Linked DNA regions of Drosophila melanogaster. Changing the gene in region 4 together with the main gene of any one other region gives a genetic interaction. Each region holds a gene or a part of one and is shown on either strand. Other genes may lie near its edges. The genes, in order: bchs, mei-218, velo and lwr.

Evidence for each region.
Region 1: of lwr (region 4) and bchs, changing one enhances a phenotype caused by changing the other (phenotypic enhancement), as found in Drosophila melanogaster (one study listed by BioGRID).
Region 2: of lwr (region 4) and mei-218, changing one suppresses a phenotype caused by changing the other (phenotypic suppression), as found in Drosophila melanogaster (one study listed by BioGRID).
Region 3: of lwr (region 4) and velo, changing one suppresses a phenotype caused by changing the other (phenotypic suppression), as found in Drosophila melanogaster (one study listed by BioGRID).

What each region holds. Positions count from the first base shown.
Region 1 is NT_033779.5:5,905,298-5,910,199, reverse strand, and holds the start of bchs (blue cheese), read right to left. Parts: upstream 3,032-4,902; 5' UTR 2,913-3,031; intron 1,888-2,912; 5' UTR 1,856-1,887; coding exon 1,565-1,855; intron 1,511-1,564; coding exon 1,265-1,510; exon of another isoform or gene 1,153-1,264; coding exon of another isoform or gene 1-1,152. Other genes in the region: CG14000 (uncharacterized protein), read left to right, coding at 1-1,152.
Region 2 is NC_004354.4:17,136,959-17,144,669, forward strand, and holds the start of mei-218 (meiotic 218), read right to left. Parts: upstream 6,033-7,711; 5' UTR 5,906-6,032; coding exon of another isoform or gene 5,844-5,905; 5' UTR 5,750-5,843; coding exon of another isoform or gene 5,309-5,749; 5' UTR 4,804-5,308; coding exon of another isoform or gene 4,736-4,803; intron 4,637-4,735; exon of another isoform or gene 4,524-4,636; coding exon of another isoform or gene 4,368-4,523; intron 4,246-4,367; coding exon of another isoform or gene 4,155-4,245; coding exon 4,021-4,154; intron 3,958-4,020; coding exon 2,418-3,957; intron 2,354-2,417; coding exon 1,020-2,353; intron 964-1,019; coding exon 731-963; intron 439-730; coding exon 119-438; 3' UTR 1-118. Other genes in the region: mei-217 (meiotic 217), read right to left, coding at 4,133-4,245, 4,368-4,523, 4,736-4,803, 5,309-5,749, 5,844-5,905; RpS5a (ribosomal protein S5a), read right to left, coding at 6,745-6,813, 7,660-7,711.
Region 3 is NT_037436.4:6,749,706-6,754,474, forward strand, and holds the start of velo (veloren), read right to left. Parts: upstream 3,048-4,769; 5' UTR 2,440-3,047; intron 1,739-2,439; 5' UTR 1,729-1,738; coding exon 1,648-1,728; intron 1,592-1,647; coding exon 854-1,591; intron 780-853; coding exon 1-779. Other genes in the region: SBDS ribosome maturation factor, read left to right, coding at 3,402-3,532, 3,613-4,240; Ist1, read right to left, coding at 4,570-4,769.
Region 4 is NT_033779.5:540,052-544,317, reverse strand, and holds lwr (lesswright), read left to right. Parts: upstream 1-1,737; 5' UTR 1,738-1,888; intron 1,889-1,938; exon of another isoform or gene 1,939-1,967; 5' UTR 1,968-2,070; coding exon 2,071-2,550; 3' UTR 2,551-2,609; exon of another isoform or gene 2,610-3,081; intron 3,082-3,149; 3' UTR 3,150-3,719; downstream 3,720-4,266. Other genes in the region: Spp (signal peptide peptidase), read left to right, coding at 52-902, 969-1,077.

The DNA.
Region 1 (4,902 bases), 5.4 Mb from region 4:
GGCAGTGTTTGTATGTTTTTCCACATACGCGGCTCATCCTACTGGCCAGAGCGTACTCCTCATGTGATCCTATATTGTGCCACATTTTCGTCCTTTACGGCGCTCGCCGCTCTAGGCGCGTTCCGACTGCTATTGGCTAGGAGTACGGTGCTCTCCTCCCAGCTCCTGCTCACACTGAGTGCCGTGCTGTCGCACTATTTCTGCGGCGTGCTGATAATGCGCACCGCCATGCTGGACCCTCACCTGGCCTTCATCAATTCTACCATCGAGTATCTGGAACATCCGCACTTTGCGCACTGCAAGCAGCAGAGCATCGCTGCGCTGGTTACTGGCACCATGTACCTGATGCACATGTTCCACGTGTTCGACCTGCTGATGCGCATGGAACCCGGCGACTGGAAACGTCAGGCGACTGGCCGTAAGTACTTTGAGGGAACAGAGTCTGGTTCAACCGGGCTATTTGTGCTTTCCAAGCCAGTGGACGACTTTCTATGCAAATGCTGCAGGTGCTACTATAAGTTGGCCAATTCTCAGATCCTGTACTTCCGGCCGAACGCGGAGGTGGAGCAGCCGCACTTTATAGTCCGCATGTGGCAGTTCATTGGGGATGCGCGTAAAAAGTTCTTTTCGCTGCATCAGATCGAGAGTGACGAGAGTTTTCTATCAACGCCAACAATAACCACCAGTGAATCGGATATCACACCGGTGGACACGGAGTACAGTGTGTACATGGAAGAGCAGGCCAATAAGATGCGCAGGTCTGCTTCAGCCTGGCGCGGCTCCAGCGATTCCTCGAGCTTGTGGGCCAAAATCGAGGACAGGAGCACTGTTAGCCTTGTTTCAACTCGGTCAAGTGAGAACAGCGAGGCCACAATGAAACCCATTCAAATGGATCGGAAGCTAGCCCGGCGATCTTCCATGTGGGCGGACACTGAGAAAAGGGAGAAATCGGAGATTTTGCTGGTAGAACAGGGCTCTAGCTATTCTCGGCTCAGAACTTTAAGCAATGCTGAATTGGTCCATAAGCCAAGCGATGCGGGAGAAAAGGAACAACAAGTTCCAGATGCAGCCAACCCAAATATTACAAATGAAGAAGCTACGAACTCACACATCGAATTCTCTTTGAAGCCTGGAACTGAGAAAACTTCGTGAATTTGATGACGACTTTCCCTAACGAAAATTGTAGCTATTGAAATTTTTTGTTTTGATTACGTCGATGTATTTTTACCATAAGATACTATAGCAGTTTATAAATGAAACATACCTGTATGAGAGATACGTCTCCATTGGCCAACAAATTGAGGGTAGCCAAAAGCATCCATCCGCTGCTGGTTTCCTCGGTGGTTTCCACCTCGAGAAACTTGACTATGGCAATGGATGCCGCCTCTGTGCTCTGGTTGGAGGCGCGCTTGCGGATTTCGCTGACCATGAGACGGGACACTTGCTGGCAGAAGGCGACCACGTCCCAGAACTTTTCGCTCATGTCGTTTGACGGACAGCTGCTGAAGACCTGTAAGAATGGGGAGTTAGTGGCCTATTCCTCCATACCGACTGATTCACTCACTTTGCAGAAGAGGGGCAGCATCTCGTAGAGCTTGTCATCGCGCTCCTGTTCGCTCAGCGGCTCCCGCGGATGAGTGTATTCGTTGAATAGCTTCTTTAGCGTGGTGAGGCTCACTTGGACGCGGGCGTCCATCAGCGCCTCCTCCGCATTCCGTCCATTTGCAGCGGTCGGTGCACCAGCATCCGTTCTGCTGCTCCCTGGTGAACTGTTGTTCGCCGTCGAGGTTCCGCTACTGCTGCCGCTGACGCTGCCTGCGCTGGCCGCTCCGCGCAGCTTACGCATTACATTCATCTTTGTGTTTGTTGATTTGCGGTAAGATTAATCTAAAAGAGAGAAAATTAAGTTGACTTAATACAAAATATAAGACTAATCTAATGGCTGTACTATGAGGAATGTCATTGATTTTTTTGCAAGGGGGTGGCACTTTCTACATGTGTTTTAATAATGGTGATTCACTTGTTTACAATGTTATGCCGTTTAAAAAGATTATATATTATTCGATAAAGGTGTAAAAAGATATTTCATAGTATTTTGAAACTTTTTACTGCTGTAGTTTAATGAACTTTCCCACTTTCATGCAGGTTTCAGTTCAAAACGTGTCGCTTCGCATTTAAACATATGTTTCCATAGAACCTGTGCTTATTGTAGATATTGTATCTTTTGAACATTGGAGGTGAGATATTTTGGCGATTTATTTGCACAGCACTGACACTTTCAATTGAGTGGCTTCCAAATCACAACCGCGCACAGTGCAGTTGGCGTTATGGCTTGTTTTCGCAGCTATTCTATTTCTGCTGCCGCCGCCTTAATTAGCGGCCGCTGGAGGTGAATCACACGAAAAGTGCGATCATTGTATTCGGTGCGAGTATTAACTTTTCGCGAGTGAATGAACGTTGCCTCTGTCGCCGACTCGATTCGATTCGTACGCCTACATAGCGAGCAAGCGATTAACCGATAGTGGTTATTATTCCATATATTCGGGAAATATTTACATTTTGTGCGAGACAGCTGTTCTTGGTTTACTTATTGCGCACTTGTTTGTTTACTCCAACTCCCTTTGAAACTACCGACTATCTGACCTCTCTTTTCTGCCAACGCATTTGGTTCAGCTAACGGCCGCTCTGTTGTTGCTTTTTCGTAGTCCGCTTAGCGCTCTCTTTCGTGTCGCACTTTGTTTTGCTCCAGTCAATCGCGCCTCACGACAATTTTATTGATTTTTCTTCCTCTCTCGCGTACTCTCACTCGGCCTCTCTGCCCGCCACCCACCCTTGAACAAACCAGCAGATAGGTCGAATTTGAAAATTTTCACATGCACTTTTCCGGCTTATTTCGTGCAGCCGTCACTTACTTTTGCTATCCGTCGCTAGCATTGTGTTTCCCGTGTGAGTTTTCACTATTTTGGGCCCTAAATGCACTCGTTTTACATCTTGTTTCACGTATGAAAATATGAACCAAATTTTCTCCAGCTTTTCGTCTGTACTCTCTTTTCGTTATTCTGTCGAGTGTTGCGTAGCGCTGCCAGTGGTATCAGCTGTTCACATTTTCCACCACCGCAGCCAGTGCTCATTAAGACCAAACGCCAGTGCTGCATTTTGAATTATGATCGGCGGTCTAGCTTTGGCATTTCAAATTCAACTGTACTGATAAGCAAATAAACAAGACCGATTTGTATTAATCTACTTCATTTTATTATTTTTATTTAATACAAAATCTTTTGTATGTCGCCAACGATGTGCTTATCTTCAGATTGTATATATTAGATCGCTTACTAAACTAATGGCAACAGTTTAATAGAACTAAACTGATTTATCTCATAAACTTAGCATCTAAATTGATACTTAATTAGCACTTACTTAATGTTCATGTGTGCTCATAATTAAGTTCATTATTGTTAATAATATTATATGAGTGCTTTCGCATCTCGGCTAACAATTGGTATTCTTAGGCCATTGGCCATTAATTTCCAAATTTCTCTCTCGCCCAATATTCGCATGAGTGTGAGATTCTTTATTGATTCTGGCTAGGGGTTATTAATATTTGTGTTTGTACTTACAGTTGTTATAATTGTCAGCATCAACAGATAGCTGTCGGATATGACAACAAATTTATTTGCATATTGATTGAACGAACACCCGATGGCGAACTTCATGCGTTGATAATGATGCTATTTGCTGACTCATTTGTGGCAGAGAATGCTGTAAGTTTATTGGGATTGATTGATTGGTAAGGCCATTAAATGCCACGCACGTCCTTCTGATCTAATTTCCCTGTACCCGAAACCAATTCGCTGTGTCTCCCCATTTTAATGCGGATAAAATTTCGTTTTTGAATCAATTAGGGGTGCAAAAGAATAAAGGCGTGTCGTGCTAAATATTTAGTTAGTAGTTATCCCCATGACCAACTGCCTCGCTCCCCAAAAATAGTTTACCTTTGGGCGTTGGCCCCGCCACGCCCACTGACCCCTTGCGTGACTGCCCGTATCCACCCGCTCCCACAGTCCTCTTCAGTTTTCCAGCTAGCCAGCCAGCCACATAAGCTAAGCTCGGAGTTCCCTAATGCTTGTTTATGTGGGAAAGCGTTTGGGATTGGCACTTCTCCAGGTATTATATCTTCCCACCCAGACAGGTACTTTGCGCACTTTCCCGCCCGACAAACCCCCCACCGCGATTTGTGGGGCAGGGTTGTGGGGAAAGTCCTTTGTCTGCGGCAATATTCTAATGGATTTTTCCGTTTCAGTTATAAATAGAGGCCCCCTACAACTGACAAAAACGGGAACAATATCTCAGGTGCCAAGAAGGGGTAGACCAGTAAAATGATATTCGGTAGATTGATAGCGCACTAAAAAAAAAAACTCGTGAAGTTGGCGCGAACATTCTATTTACATACAAACTCTTATGAGTAAAGTGACATCAGCCTATTTCATCCGCTTAATCTTCCTTTAAAGGTGAAGTGCAATACCCAGCAAAATTTTAAGTGGATTTTTAAGTGAATTTTCCGAGGACCGCATATGCTGCTCGAGGCGTTTCCGGAAAATTTAAAAGTGTAACCCCAAAAATCATTTGCACAGCATTCATGGGGGACTCATTAGGCGGGGCTTCCCCCTTTCTGTCGGAACGAATAACTTTTATTTTTCGCCCCAGAGTCCTCCACTTCATCACGACGCTGTTGTTGACAATGAGCGAAACATTTGCGTATCGAAATTGGCAAGACCCCGGGCGGCGGCCAAGGATATTCCGGCCTCCACATTCCCGTAAGACATGAATATTCATCCTTTGGCGGAGCGAGTCCCAATCGAGCAAGAAGATGCTTCAGGTTGCCGGGGCTTTTGGGATTAACAT
Region 2 (7,711 bases), on a different chromosome or scaffold from region 4:
ATTTATCTGTATAAAACTACAAAAGGTATTCAAAATTGGTCCAGTGTGCGATGGTTATAAATCTACGAGTAATGCCAAATCAATGCCAAGTTGGTCTATAGGGATCTATGCCAGGCGTTTAGGGCATGTCCCAGCTATCTGTGCGCCGCCTCTTATCCGCGTGCATCCCCAGCTCCTCGTCCTCGTAGCTATTCAGATACTGAAGTAACCAGCGTGTAAACTTGTTCATGTACGGATCGATGCAGGAGATCACATTGAAATTGAAGACCGCCGGCGGTGCCTGGTTTTCTTTGGCCCCGAAAATGCCCTGCACGAAATGCTCGCAGTGAAAGATGGCCACACAAACGTCCGATTCAAGGACCTCCAGCCGCAGCGCCAGCTTGGCAAAGCACTCAGCTAATTGCTTCAGCACTATATAGGTCTTGCTAGAGAAGACATCTGGAAATGAGCGGGATGGAAAACGTTAGTTGCCATCGATTAGAGGAGCACAAAATAGTAACAAAAGTTGTAAATAGTATTTCAAGTTTCGAAAATAATTAACAATTTGACTCTGTTAATTGTTCTCGAAACATGCTAAATGCGAAACATTACTAAAGTCAGTTTGGATGAGATCTGTTTGAATTGTGATTGTTGTTGTGTTTGTTGATCTGTGTTTCATAAAGCCGTACTGACACGACCCTTCGCTTTGAAGCTAGGAAGACGATTTGCTGCTTAATGGAATTAGACTTACTCGGTCGCTCTTTCCTGGAGATCACATAATACTTTTGCAGCATATGCTGAGCGCCATCGGTTAAGGTGGTCTTGCGCTGATGCAACAGATGTATAAGCATGCGCATATCGTCCTCGGGAATGCTCAAGCCATCGTTGACTACAATTTGACCCTCAGCGTTGTGCTTCTGAATTATAGAGTTCCAGAGACTATTGCTGGCCTGAGCACCCATATAAATTGGCAGCCCGAAGATTCTGCAAATTAGGTTAACTTAATATACAAGCGTAATTTCTAGTTTTGTCCACCTTACGGGCACAGTTTGGCGAGGGCCAGTGTTTGATTGGTGGAGTTGTTCGGCTGCCAGTAAGTCCAAACGGCTGCCTTTAAGGGCTGATCGATGTGCAACTGCGGAACTGGGACCGCTCCATTTTCGATGCACTTTTCCAGCTGGCATCCCTGATCCTTGGACAGACGATTCCAATCGCCGGCGTAGTAAACTCCCTGTTGTGCCAATAGTAAAGGACTGGCCACTATCCAATTAAAGCGCGTGGGCAGGGCATTGAAAGTGGGCTGCAGTCCGTATTCGTGGGGTCCCAGGAAACGTGGTGCCAGTTGGCCCACTTTGTTAAGTAGACGGTTGGCCATCAGGCTGTCGGTGGCGATTATGCATAGCGAAATTGGAGCCCGCACCTCATCAGATTCGATTGAAACGATACTGGCCAGCAGTATCATCTTCAGGTACACAAAGCAATCCATAGGCACACAGTCCTGACTGATCTGAGCACTTAGGGCGTAGACAAAGGAGTAGTCAGAATACTGCGATGAGATCAAGTGATGTAGTTTCTTGATGCTGGACGGCACGCAGTTTAGATCCGGCTTGGGATATTCTTGGCCGTGCTGTGATGGGGCTCGAAATATCATATGACGCTCGAGTGGTGGTCCTGCGTCCTTAGCGAGGTACGCGTTTTCCTCGCCGTGTTCGTCGGCGACGACCTGGTTCTCCGACTGGAAACTCGGGGGCTCTATCTCCGACTCCCACTGCCATTCCTGGTCCTGTTGCTCCGGCTGGGTTTCCTCCTGATCCATATCCAACAGAGGCCTGCTGTACATTAGGTCCTCGTCCTGGTGGATGCATGATTCCCACAAGTGTTGCTGGTGCTGGTTCTCCACCGGCGGCGAACTGAGAGTATGCGATAACTGGGTGGGCCCGGAAATGCTGGATGGGAGGCGGCTGGAGCTCATATGCTGGATGGGGGGTGGCGAACTGGTAAATATATCCATATTGGTGGTGCCAACCCCTGTACACGGGAGACTGGCTAGCCGAAAAACCGACTGGCTGACACTGTTGCTTTGGATTTCAACCGGAATTTGTGGTGACGAGTTGCTCCATATAATTCCCGACTGCTGATCAAAATAGAACACGGGCGGCAGATTGCCGGTGGCACTCACCTCGATCATTGCCGGTGGTACAATGGCTTCGATCGGTGTGTCGACTGTCTGTCGTGGTGGACATGGCTGATCATCTATCTCAGAGGTGTATTCGAGTATTGGTTCTGGGGCGCTGTCAGGATTTGGTAGTTGCTCGCGTGGGTTATTTTTTTTCGCGTGCAAAGAGCGCGTAAAACGCTGTCGACAGCGTCTTTGCTGTAATTGTCCAATATAGAAAGGGTTATCTAATGAGGATTAAACTTACGGTGCAGTAACTTACGCTCAATCTAGACACTTTGTGGGTTAGATGGGATTCTCCGGTAGGGTGGAACTCCTTAGCATTTGAGTTCAAAACGCTGCCCATAGCCAATTTTCGCATGTGGCTGCTCGCATGGATTTCTGGTGAGCTTTTCACCTGGCGCGGTTTCTCCTGTTGCTGGTACGGCACCACCTCTTTTTCCGGCGTTTTCCCTGAAGATCCCTCAAGCAAGGACTCTGTAAACTCTCGACTTACCGCCTGCAGACTGCGCACCATCCGGGGGTTGTGATTGCGACGTGGGAATCTCCTCTGCCTTCTCTCACTTTGATTAGGCGTCGGCGGCATAACATCCTCGTCCTCATTGTGGACAACACTGGGACCCGAAGATTGAGTGGTCTGCTGTCTGGGCGCAATGCGGATTGGTGCCGAAGAATTGTTTGTAACTGAAGCTCTCTTCGCAGGGCTCCTTGAGTGCAAGTAAATGAGCTCGGTAGGTCTCTCTGATTGCGACTGAGTATGATTAACAGGGTTCATCTGCTGCTGAACAGAAGTTTTCGGACAATTCTGAAGAATCTTTGGCTTCTGCTGCTGTTGTTGTTTCCAAGAGTGCTGAATGCCAGGAGACTTCTGATTGTTTTGGCTCCTTTCATTATTGGCAGGACTCTTCTGTTGCTGCTGTTGGAATTTGCTGGGAGAATTTTCAGAACTCTTCTGCTGTAAAGAACTGGCAGAACTCTTCTGATGATGCGAGGAATTGACCCAACTCCTTTGCTTCTGTATGAAATTGACCGAACTCCTCTGCTGCTGTGAAGAATTGACCCAACTCTTCCGCTTCTGTAAGGAATGGACCGAACTATTCTGCTGCTGTAAGGAACTGGCAGAACTGTTTTGCTGCTGTAAAGAATTGGCGGAAGCCATCTGCTGCATGTTAGTAAAACCGACAGAACTCTTCTGCTGCTCCTTTGGAGAGTTAGGTGTTTTCTGCTGATGCTCGACAGAATTAGCCGGACTTGTCTCCTCCTGTTGGGATTTAGCTGGAGTATTCTGCTCCTGTTGGATATTCTTCTCACCCGGAGAGGACTGGGCAGAACTTTTTGGCGTCAGCGGCTGTACTGAATCTTTACTCAGCAGTGTTATATTGGTCGAAGAAGAGCAACGTGCCTGGTCGCTTAAAGACTTTTGGCTGTCGCTAGGACGTACTGACGACAGCCAAGTGGTCACCGATTGATGATTGCTGTTGCTCGATTTCGGAAGCATGAAATCCGGCAAAAAGTTACCCAGCACAGGCGGATCTTTTACGCGACTAAAACGACTGGCAAGGCACGAAACAGTGCCGCCGTCATCTTGATTACGCACCCGCGGCGTTCGTTGTTTGAATCTCTTCGGGCGCTGGCCCAAATCAGGATACTCTTCGGCACTCACAACAAAGCTACGATCAGGCTTAGTGACTTCTTTAGATAAGCGCCAGACGTTAACATTTGGTTTGTAGACACCGGCCTTCGGTGTGGGAGTCATAATAGGCGTCACATCGCTTTCGACCAGGCCATTCGATGGTATGGTGCTGGGCATTGGGGGATACATTAATATATTTGCTTATTATAATGGTGTAAATAGAATATTCTACCCTATGGAGCTTGTGTTGGCATTTTGAGTAACTTCACGAACTTCACCATCGTCATCGTTGCGCAAGAAAACATTAAGCTGGAGGGGAATGTGCCTACGAGGGTCCTTTTTCTCTAGTTTATTCGTAGATGACATGCTTCCAGTTGATATGTGCTGGCTGAGCTCGCAAAGTATCCAGTGATTAGGTAGCTAGCACCCAACTTTAATTCGCAGTCGTGGGCGTGGGCTAAGAAATGTTGTTAATATTATGATTATTCATGATAGTGACATCCAAATGAGTATGTCCTAGTTTACCAGGCATATTTAATTTCACGTGTTTATGATGTCCTGAATACCAGATTCACTTACCTCTAAGGCGAACTAATTTTGGGCGATGAAGGCAATTGGTGACACGAGGTGTCTGAACTGCCGAAATAGGCAAGACAGCCAAGATACGATAGGTTTCCGTGACGCGCAGCTTTTGGTATTCACTCATGGGCCGCGAGCAGCTCGAACAAAAGGGTGCTGAAAGATATCAAGAAGATGGATTAGCAATGGAGCTGGCACAGGATCTCGTGAACAAGGAATGCTGGGTTAGATAACATTTTGTTAGACAGGGTTCCGAGGGTTGTGAGTATGGCTAGAGGTTAGAGGTTGTTAGTTAGAGGTTGTTGGCTGTGCCACAATTTGGATAAAGTGCACGTTGTTTCTTTATGTTCCTAGCCTATGGGACCTACCATCTGTTGAGCTGGTCTGTATGGCATTTCGCATACAGCCACTGCCGCAGTACCAGATCGATTGTAGGCTACAATGGAATATCAGGATATAAATTACACATATTATCAAAGATTGGTACACCCTAGCAGAGCAGCTGTGTGTTTTATAATTAATATGTTTAGAAACAGATATTGCCTAAAGCATAAGAAAATAATACATGCAATAGACAAATAATAAATACCATTAACCCACTTAAATAAAAAATAACGATAATACGATCCATGCTTTTTTAACTTTAACAACAATGAACATTCATAGAAAGTTAATGGGATATAGATATACTTCTTTTGTAGGTTGGTATTTACACTTAAGAGACTAAGCTTAAAACCCTCTTGAACTAAACCAAAAAGGGTAAACCAGCTTGGCTAGCTTGGTTAGTTAAGAACTATAACTATAATTAATCAGGCATGACAGGATACATAGTACCCAAACATAACCAAATCGAATAAGAAAAATGTGGAAAAAGCACACCAAAGCAAACTAGGGGAACATTGCAATTCTCTGCCAGGACATGTACAAACTGTAAAACTGACACCAGTGTTTCTTGCGGCGTGAAAGCGGCTAGGATGCCCCGGATCTGGGACAAGCCCAGCCGGGTCAACTGGTCCCGCGGCTCGAACTGCAGGCCCGGCGTAAAGGGCAGTCCCACCAGGCGCCAGTGGGCGTGCAGCTGGTTGATATCGATGGGCTTCAGGCCAGCGTCCTTGAGATGTGAGCGGATCAAGCCATAAACCGAGTAGCGGACCGCTTCTTGAAACTGCAGCGGTTCCTCGACGATGAGCTGCAGTAGTTGCGGTGAGATATCGAGTAGTTGCCGGTATTCGAAGTCCAGGCGCAGCTGGATGGGGGCCAGCAGGTCCTCTGGCCGCCGGGAGCTCATATAGTTCGCCACAAAGCGGCCAGAGGAGACCTGGACCAGCTTGAGCAGCTGCGTCTGCCGGCAAAAGTGCTCAACCAACTTCTGATCGTGGAATCTGTATTGTATATTAGCATTTCGTGTTTTATGTCTTTAGGAGCCTGCGAAAATAAATGCGCCCTGTTTTTTAACCAGGATTACCGTGCACTTACTGGCTTTTTAATGGAGTCTCGTTTACAACTGATGATCCTTCGCTTGCATCCACTGTGAACATTATACACTAATCCAGAAATGTGAACTTATTTCAATCCGACCTACTACCAAAGAATTTTAAAATGAAGTGTTTGACTAAGGAAAAATTGGAATTAAAACCGATTGCGATATGAAGTGTACCTATCGAGCCCTGATTTAAATCGATACTGAAGTTTTTCGATCGGGTAATGTGTGACTTAGATTTTAAATGTCGTTAAATGACTAATGACTAGCCTCCTACAATAAATGGATCTTTTGTTGCTTTGGCATAGAGTTCTTCAAAAGCGAAGAATAGAATATATAAATGTAGAATTTAAGGGCTTAAAACAATCGGAGTATTGTAAACTGTTGCCAGCTTTCCAATACATTTATTTTAGAAAAGTGATGCCAGATCGATGGAGTATCGCAACTATCTATAGATTTTATACACTAAAAAAACCGTATTTTAGTGATCTATCGTGAGTAGTTAGAGAAATATCTATGAAAGAAATTGTATCAATATCGATAAAAAAAACTTTTTAAAGTTTCAATTTGTTTAAACCATGTAATTTACTTTAATTTTTTAGCTAAATTTCATTTCAATATTTTTAGCTATTCCAAGCAAGACAATTTCACGTTTTACTCACGCTTAACCTCACATATTTCTGACACCAGCAGCCCGATAGAAAATAGCTAAAATATCCGTTCTTCTCTGACAACCAAGTTTATTATAAACTAAAAACTATAAAAAAAGAATGGTCTGAAGTGAATTTTTCATCTTGTTGTTTATTTTAGTTTTAGTGTATCATTTCTCAGTGTACACACGTTATTTGTATAAAAAAAAACAGACAGAAGTTTGTTTTTGCTGGTGATGATGTCTCCTTAACGGTTGGACTTGGCGACACGCTCCAACTCATCCTTCTTCTTGATGGCGTACGAGTTGGAAGATCCCTGGAAATACATTTAAACACAAGTTATTAGTATTGGCTATCAATGTTTTTCTAGATCTTTTATATGTTAATTGCGCTGTTATGTTACTGTTACTGCATTGTATGGATTCATCGCTTCTAAATAAATAAATATAAAAAAACAAGTCCCTAACTTATTTAAAGCTAGTGTTCCTTTACGTTTCTCATGTGCATTGAACTAAGCAATATTACAAGCACAAGGATAATAAAGGATGGAAATTAATCTGGTCCAAAAGCGAGACTACATAATTAAACCACCATGCAGAATTAGATTGGACCTATTATTAAGCTCTATATACCAACTCTTAAATAGTTTGCTAATGTTCTTTTACGTTTCTCGTGTGCATTAGACTGATATTGTCACAAGCACAAGGATAATAAAGGATGGTGATTGTTCTGGTCCAAAAGCGAGACTACATAATTAAACCACTATGCAGAATTAGATTGGACCCCCGCTATCCTAATCGAATCAGTTCCTAAATGCTAATTCATAAAAGTGTTCTTTTACGTTTCTCGTGTGCATAGGACAGTTAAGTGGTCACTAGCACAAGGATAATAAGAGATTTGGAGTTTGATCTGGTCCAAAAGCGAGACTACATAAATAAACCATGATGCAGAATTAGATTGGACTAGTTGAAATGACTAGCTGTGTCACTAGAAGGAAGAAAAGAGCTATTTCGAAGCTCAATTCTTGGGTTAATCCGAGTGCCGAACGTGGTTCTCGATCTGGTCTACAAGCGAGGCCAGGCATTTTGGTAGTACAATGCCAAGCATTAGAGTAGACCACCCCATTCCCACTTTGATCTCGCCACAAGCCCAATTTACCCACCTTAGCAGCGTTGATCAGCTCATCAGCCAGGCACTCGGCGATGGTCTTGATG
Region 3 (4,769 bases), on a different chromosome or scaffold from region 4:
ACCATGTGTGTGCGGTAGATGTGGCGCGGCTGTTGCTGCATCTGCTGCTGCTGTTGTTGTTGCGGCTGGCCGAGATTCGTGCTGATGGTAATGTGCTTCATTTGGCCCTGAGTCACTAGCATGGTCTGTCCCTCGCCGCTGGCGCTAGTCTGCACCACCAACTGCGCTCGAGTGGGTCGTACGCCCGCAGGTCGCATATTCCTAACCAGTCCGCCGGGCACTGCACCTCCTCGCGGACGAACTTGCCGCACAATTGTTGTGGGCGTAAGTGTAGGCCTGGTGGTAATTAGTGTGCCCGGCCTGGCCAGCACAGCTCCACCTCGGGGCGATTTCCTAAACGAGGCGCGTACTAGTTGAGTGCCACCGGCAGCAGAGGTGGCCACTAGCTGCGGCTGCTGCTGAGCCACCAATTGCGGTTGCTGCTGCTGTGGAGCCTGCTGCTGTTGCTGCGGCTGCACCTTTTGCACCTGCAACTGCTGGTAGACAACATTTTGGGTCTGCTGTGGCACCACACGAGCCTGAACTAAATGGGCTGTTTGAGTCGTGGGCTGCAGTTGCATCTGCTGTTGTTGCTGGACTTGCTGATGCTGCTGCACTTGCTGCTGCTGTACGTGCTGCTGGATGACGTGTTGTTGCTGCTGCTGCTGTTGCGGTGAAGTGGCATAAACTACACGATTGTTGTACGGATGTATGGCCTGTCGCATAATCAGCTCCTGATGCTGTGGGCCCTGGATCAATACCGGTTGCTGCTGGACAATCACGTGCGTATTGTTGAGCATCTAGGATTTGGAAAATCGATATCAATATGTTTCAAGTGAAAGATAAATACAGGGCTATTTGGAACCTAACTTACCCCTAAGGGCCTTTGTTGCTGCTGTGTGGTGGTCATGCGGTAGACGATCTGCTGGTGCTGCTGCGGTTGCTGTTGGGGTGGCGACGTCTGCAGTTGCAACGTTTGTGCCTGCTGCGCTTGCTGATGCTGCTGCTGGGAACTCTGAAGTAATTGGGCTTGCCCTTGGGGAGACGATTGCACTTGGTAGGCGGGTGCGTGTTGTTGATACTGTTGCTGCTGCTGCTGCTGTTGCTGCAGCACTTGCTGCTGCTTCTTCTGCTGCTGCATATGCTGCACAATGGCATTTGGTTGCAGGACTTGCTCTGAAGTGTAGTAAATCTGCTGTGTATGCTGGATGGCGGGTTGCTGCGGCTGATGCTGCACATATTGCTGCTGCTGCTGCTGCTGTTGCTCCATGTGCAGTTGTTGCTGCTGCTGCTGGGGCTCCTGTTGCTGCTGCTGATAGTGAACCTGCTGCACTTGCTGCACCTGATGCTGCTGATGATGCATTACAACTTGTTGTTGCTGTTGTTGGTGCTGCTGCTGCGGTTGTTGTTGTTGCTGCTGCTGCTGTTGTTGTTGCTGCTGCTGCTGTTGGTGCTGTTGCTGCTGATGTGCAAGATCATCGCCACCGATTATGTGGTATGTGGGTGCCGCAGACTGCTGGGGCTGTTGATATTGCGCTGGGGCCGTCGTCTGGTAGACAACTTGCTGCTGGTCGTTGAACACCAGCTGCTGGTCATCCTGTAGGACCAGGGACTGAAAGAAACAAGAAATTAGCTTGCTATTCACCGAGGGCTTCGGATACTACTCACCCCAACCTCATCTTGGGGCACTTGCACTACTTGCAAATCAGAGTAGACTGGCTCCTCCAGGGGCACAATATACTGCTCCATTTCAAGGCAGCTGGAAGGGGTAGAAAATCAGTTAGAATTTTAGATATATACTATTTTTTCACTAATTCCCTAGGCCCAAAAAGTACTGTTAAATTTTAATTAATATGATCTTTTCTTCAATTACATTTTTTTGTTTTCTTTTTGGAATATTTTTTTAATTATATGCAATTTCTTATAAGTCGTATTATATATTTTAATTAAATTACATTACAACAACAATGCACCTAGATAAAGAAAACGTTAACTGGTTAAACTTTGCACTGTATGTAGCATAATTAAGATACTTAAACATTTTGTGTACTCTTTAAGGTTATATTTTTGCGTCTCAGTATGAGGACATCGTTAATTCCTTCACATTTATTTTAATATAACCTCGGTAAGGAATATAAGTGTTAAAGTATAAAATTAAATAAGAATGCAAACAAGTTTTGTCACTTTTGTGAGAATTTTTGCTCTTTTTTGCAGGCGTTGCATTTTTGAGACTTTTACAGAGCCCTCAAGAACAACACACACACAAAATCGCAGTAGAAAAATGTGATTTCTACCATTTTCCGAGCAGAAACTTGTACAATATGCGGTTGACCAATTGTATAAATTAATTCCTATGTAATTTTGCAATATATTTAACTTTTTTAAGGCACATTTATTATACAATTACAGGTCACTTTTTGAGCATAATTTTTTTTTTGTTGGCATTCCCAACCTACACACCTCCGTTAATCTTACGAGAATGGGAACTTTTTGGAGCCAATCGCTGTGCCCTCGGCTCGATCCAGTTGTTCTTTGATTAGATCATAATCGCGCTGTCTTTTTACAATAAACACACGTTAATTATTCGCGTTTTTGCTTGAAACCCGTGGCTTTCTTTCTTGCAATAAAAATGGCGTTCACCATTAAAGGCAGCATTTGATATTTATTTTATCTGGCAATGACGAAACGCGAGCGCCCCCTGGCGGGCCCATCAGCTGTTCATAAACATTTTGCAGCGTTGCTTTGGGCCGCTGATTTATCGATGTCTGCCTTGTGCCGTCCTCTTCGCCTAATGTTTAGAGGTCCCTCTGTTTGGCATGTAGCCAGTTTAAAGGGACCACTAAACGGTCGAGCCACTGGAGTTGTCTTAAAATCTTTAGTTTTTCGCACTGAACGCGCTGTTTCGGTGATTTCCATGATTTTGTTGCACATTATGCTGTTATTTAGCGAAAGGCGATTGATAACGATTTTTAGCGACCGTTGATATCGCGGTTTTGAGCACTATGTGTTTTGTTGTTTGCTGCGCGCTCTGGCGAATTGGGTGAGGAAGAAGAAGAAGAAGAAGAGTGGCGAAGGAACAACAACAACGTCGTTGTGATGGTAAAACGTCGATAAGTAGAAAAACTCGATAGCTCGGAAAATTGTGGGTAGCGGTGAAAAAAATTTCAACAAAAAAAATATACATAAATAAAATCCATCTAAATATATATATTATAAGTATGTTTTTAATAGAAAGCTGTTATGCAGTTTTGTATATTGTGAACAAAATTTTTTATCAAACTGTACATCAAAGGAAATTTCAATGATTTCACAACTACGGGATATATAAATGTTTGATTTTTTGCCATTCATCGTTTGGTTCGATCGAAAGTGTTTTGGTTTACTTGCACATCGCTAATTCCGCAGCTTGTATTTTAACAACAATGTCCAAAATATTCACGCCCACAAATCAAATACGCCTCACAAATGTCGCCATTGTGAGGCTAAAAAAAGGTGGCAAGCGATTTGAGATCGCCTGCTATAAAAATAAGGTTCTTTCGTGGAGGAGCAACAGGTAACAGCCGCTAAATGCAACACGTGCAGATTGTGAAATAGGCTTTACCTAAATCTAATTACTTTATTGTATATGCTTAGCGAAAAGGACATCGATGAGGTCCTGCAAACCCATACCGTGTTCACCAATGTCTCCAAAGGACAGGCGGCCAAAAAGGACGAGCTGCAAAAGGCCTTCAATAAAACAGACGAGACTGAGATTTGCAAGGAGATCCTCAGCAAAGGAGAACTGCAGGTGTCGGAAAAGGAGCGCCAAAGTTGTCTGGACACGCAACTAAATAGTATAGTTAATTCCGTGGCTGCGTTGTGTGTAAATCCAGAGACGCGTCGTCCATATCCCGCCTCCATCATCGAGAAATCCCTGAAGGATGCCCACTTCTCCGTTAAGATGAACAGGAACACCAAGCAGAACACACTGGAGGCCATCAAGATTCTCAAGGACCATATGCCCATCGAGAGGTCGCGCATGAAGCTGCGCGTTAGCTTTGCTGGAAAGGAGGGCGGTGGCAAGCTCAAGGAATCGGTGGTCAAGTTGGCCAACGCAGTGGAGCACGAGGAATGGGACGAGGCCACCTTGCACTTAACCTTGCTCATAGATCCTGGCCAATATCGTGTCATTGATGAGCTGGTAAGGAACGAAACGAAGGGTAAGGGACTGCTGGAGCTGCTCGAGCTGAAGGAAGTGGTGGAGAGCGAGGAACTCTTCTAGGCAATACAATCCCTTTAAAATTTTTTGTTTTTCTTTGTAATCTTGTTGATATTTATGTGAAACATAAAGCTGATAAGTACACAGAATTTAATCTGTTAGTATTTTAATCTTTAGGCTGTTTTTAGATGAATCAAGATTGCGAATATGAAAAGCAATAGGTCAACCATCTTTCAATTCAGATTATACATTTTTGAAGTCTGATTAACTACTTAATCGAAAAAACAAAATGATCAATAGTTCCTTACACATATACGTGATTATTAATGTAGAACAGGACAGAGATTATAACAAATATACTGTAGACTTAAAAGGTGATCTGCTGGCCAGCTTTACTTTCGCTTCTTAAGGTTCTCGAAGCGACGTGACAGGTCATCGAAATCAATCTCATCCTCGTCGTTCTTCTTCTCGGCACCTGCGCCCGGAATATCTGGCAGATCGTTGGGAACGTTGGGCAGCGAGGGGAAGTCCAATGCCGGAGGAGCACTTGGTAGCGTGGGATTACCCGGTGGCAGCTTGGATCGGGGTTGTG
Region 4 (4,266 bases):
TCAGCCCGGAAGCTGCATTAACATGTTTCCCGTAATTCCCACTCCCTGCAGTCAACGGGCGAGAAGGCGGACACGATGACCAAGAAAGACGCCATGTACTTCCCGCTGATCGCGTCGGCAGCCCTCTTCGGGCTGTACCTGTTCTTCAAGATCTTCCAGAAGGTGCACATCAACTACCTGCTCACCGGCTACTTCTTCGTGCTGGGAGTTATTGCTCTGGCGCACCTGCTCAGTCCGGTGATCAACTCGCTGATGCCCGCCGCCGTGCCGAAGGTGCCCTTCCACATCCTGTTCACTAAGGGGGAGGGCAAGCACAAGGAAGACATCGTTAACTACAAGTTCTCCACGCACGACATTGTCTGCCTGGTGATCTCCTCGGCGATCGGAGTGTGGTACCTGCTCAAGAAGCACTGGATCGCCAACAATCTGTTCGGTCTGGCCTTCGCCATCAACGGCGTGGAGATGCTGCACCTGAACAACTTCGTCACGGGCGTCATCTTGCTGAGCGGCCTGTTCTTCTACGACATCTTCTGGGTATTCGGCACCAACGTGATGGTCACCGTGGCCAAGAGCTTCGAGGCGCCCATCAAGCTAGTGTTCCCCCAGGACCTGATCGAGAACGGCCTGAACGCCTCGAACTTCGCAATGCTGGGACTAGGCGACATCGTTATTCCGGGCATCTTCATCGCTCTGCTGCTGCGCTTCGACGACAGCAAGAAGCGCAAGACGCGCATCTACTTCTACTCCACGCTGATTGCCTACTTCCTTGGCCTGCTGGCCACCATCTTCGTGATGCATGTGTTCAAGCATGCGCAGCCGGCTCTGCTCTACCTGGTGCCAGCCTGCATGGGCACGCCCCTCCTGGTGGCCCTCATCCGCGGCGAGCTGAAGGTGCTCTTTGCGTAAGTGTGGACTGCGCTGGGCGCTCGACTTGAAACTAAACTAACTCATTCTCGCCCCCACTGCAGCTATGAAGATCATCCCGAGGAGAAGCCCGAAAAGAAGGAGAAGAAGGAGAAGGACGAGGGCGTCAGCTCGTCCGGCAGCAAAAAGAAGGAGTCGAAAAAGGGCAAGTAGAGCCGGGAGGACGCAACATCCGAACAACATCCCCACTCGTTCCATCGTAAATGTCTTCTGCAGCTAGCCAAGCTCCCTTTCGTTTCGATATGGCTTCTCCATCTACCGCAGTCCATAGCTCATATGGACTAACACCGCTACAAAAGACGATTCACTTACTGAGTTAGTTATGTACGTTCCTTGGCCAGGCACAACAATCTTATTTAGTTCGGTTAGGTTACAATTGTAGAAAATGTTCCCTCGACTTTTTTACCGCAATCAATTTAAATATGTATTTCAAATATTTCTGTGGCTCCGCACAGGAGGCTTATATGTTTAAGAACAGTTTAGATACAAATATATTCCAATTTTTGTAAACAGTGCAATTTTGACTACGAATTCTACATTGCATTTCTTAAAACTAATGCAGTAATTTGTGTAAACAGTAATGCGAATAAATTTTAATTCTAACGTTTAATTAAACTAGTTTTGTATTGAGTAGAGGGTTTTTAGGAATGTAACGGCTTAAGAGAAAAACCTAATACATTTTAAGTTGAGCTTACCAAAATCCAAAGAATTTTTAAATTTAAAACATAATACAAAAGTGCTTTGAAAAAGTCAGTATTTTAATACCACTGTTTATCCACGGCCACACTAAATATCGATAACCGCATAGTGAGACCCTTTGTGTAGAAAAACTTATACCTTTAGCGAGCACAAGCGTTCATTCCTGAAAAATTGCGGTAAAAATTGCGAAAAGCGCGAGTTCCCCCCGCGATTGCAAATAATTAATTTGCTTGGAACCACTGGAGACGCAAGGACGAACAGAGAGGTAGGTGCTCTTGCACTTAGCGCGCCAAAAGGCGACAAAGCCCCTCGTAGGCCACTTACCCACACACACACATTCGCAGACAGACGCGCGTGCAAAAAAGGCCAAGTGGGACTGCTAGCGGAAATCCAGGACTCGAGGACACGTTCGGGCGGCAGTAGAGAAGCGAGCAAGCAGCGACGACCATGTCCGGCATTGCTATTACACGATTGGGGGAGGAGCGCAAGGCCTGGCGCAAGGATCACCCATTCGGGTTCGTCGCACGACCCGCCAAGAACCCTGACGGCACCCTCAACCTGATGATCTGGGAGTGCGCCATTCCCGGCAAGAAGTCCACCCCCTGGGAGGGCGGGCTCTACAAGCTGCGCATGATCTTCAAGGACGACTACCCCACCTCGCCGCCCAAGTGCAAGTTCGAACCGCCGCTGTTCCACCCGAACGTCTATCCCTCGGGCACTGTTTGCCTGTCGCTGCTGGACGAGGAGAAGGACTGGCGCCCCGCCATCACCATCAAGCAAATCCTGCTGGGCATCCAGGACCTGCTCAACGAGCCGAACATCAAGGACCCAGCCCAGGCGGAGGCCTACACCATCTACTGCCAGAACCGACTGGAGTACGAGAAGCGCGTGCGTGCCCAGGCCCGCGCCATGGCGGCCACTGAGTAGTCGGGCTCCTGCCAACCACCTTTACCACATAGACATTAACAAATACACACATCTAGCCGGTAAGCGTTTGTTTGGAATGCTCTCCACGTCTACTTACTTTTAAAGAATCGACTAATTTTGGATAGCCCCCGCGGCCCGAAGCATCTAATTTTTTAATGTTCTGCACTTGCTTAATTACCAGCATGTACCATCTGAATAAATACAAATAAGTCCTGTAATTTTTCGATGAGGCCCAAAGTGGCCACGTGGCACCCAGAATTCGACGCTCTTTTCAGCTTCCATTCTGGGTGCAGGTGCCGATTATTCTACGGGCTATTTTGTATCGCGAGTACTACGTACAAACCTATGTAATTTCAATAAAAATTTATTAGTTGTAAAAGCTTATGCATTTTAAAGCGGAAAGGATTTCCCAGCAAATGTGCAGTCGAGCACTTGTTGGTCGTCAGTAGCCGTACAGCTGGATTTAGTGCTTGAATTATTCCATATAAAGTTCTTCCTTTTGCTTATTATTTAAGTAACATGACTATTTTTAAATTTAAGCATTTTATTTAAAAACTTGTTCAGTCCATTTTTACCTTTATATTTTATTTGATTTTTAGGCATTTGAAGCTGGTCACATTTCCCAACTATTTCAGCTGATCTGGCAAGTCCGCCAACATTACTATGCATAATTTTTGGCTGATCTGGTAGCATTCGCTGCTGATATAGCAATGCTTCCAGCTAACGGTTCATTTCCAACGAGGCCGCCATATTGAAAAATGCCCAGTTAAAACACCTACTGAGATTTGTGTTCGCCTGGTACTTCAGTCTGGGGAATCCGGCATACTGACAGCTGAATTTATTATTTTTCCCGAGGATGCTCATATATTTCGAACTGAATTACCAGGGAAGCATAAGCGTGGAAAGGTGTTTTTAAAACAACCGCCAGGATTCCCAAAGTCTTGGTTTTGGTGGGCATGCTCTATTCTGAGTACCAGGCGAACAGAACTTCTAGTAGGCTACCAACGATCAGCTGATCTATCTGATGCCTGGTCTAATCTAACGGTTCTTTTATTAGGGATGCCACAATATTTTTCTATTGATCCGGTAATATGTCCGATGTTTGACAATATTTTAATCAATCTGGCAACTATGTCGTCATAACATTTTTCGCTAATCTGGCAGCACTCAAATCGTTCGTTGAATTCAAAAATGTAAAATGTCGTTTAGTTACTAATTTCACTATATTTTATATTGAATAAATTAATTACTTTTATTGTCGCACACACTTAATAAATAATGTACTCATTTAAATTACACAGTTAGAATTGCTCGCTTTATGGGGAACAGCGAGTAATTTACATTATAGTATTGGATCTACATTGGAATACTTCGCCTCCTTCTACTCCGCAGACCATTGCAAACTTGTAGTTTCTCGCCCTCAATTTAATTTCTGTCTAAGTGGTAAGCTTTGGCATGCATTATATGTCATGGTTCCCACTTAATGGGTATGCGCCTAAATTAATGTACCTAAGTATCTATGTGTTATTCCTTTAGGTGTACTGTATATGTACGGGAGTACGATGTATATATCTACTTCTATCGATCGGTAAGTCGAAGGAGTCAGTCCCCAAATGGAGTTGGAAGTGGAGGGCAGCGACGGGAGATTTTCCGGGAATACTGTCGTCGATGGTTGGTTGCGGTTTGGATAGTGTACATTTTTAAAGGAGGCTAGGA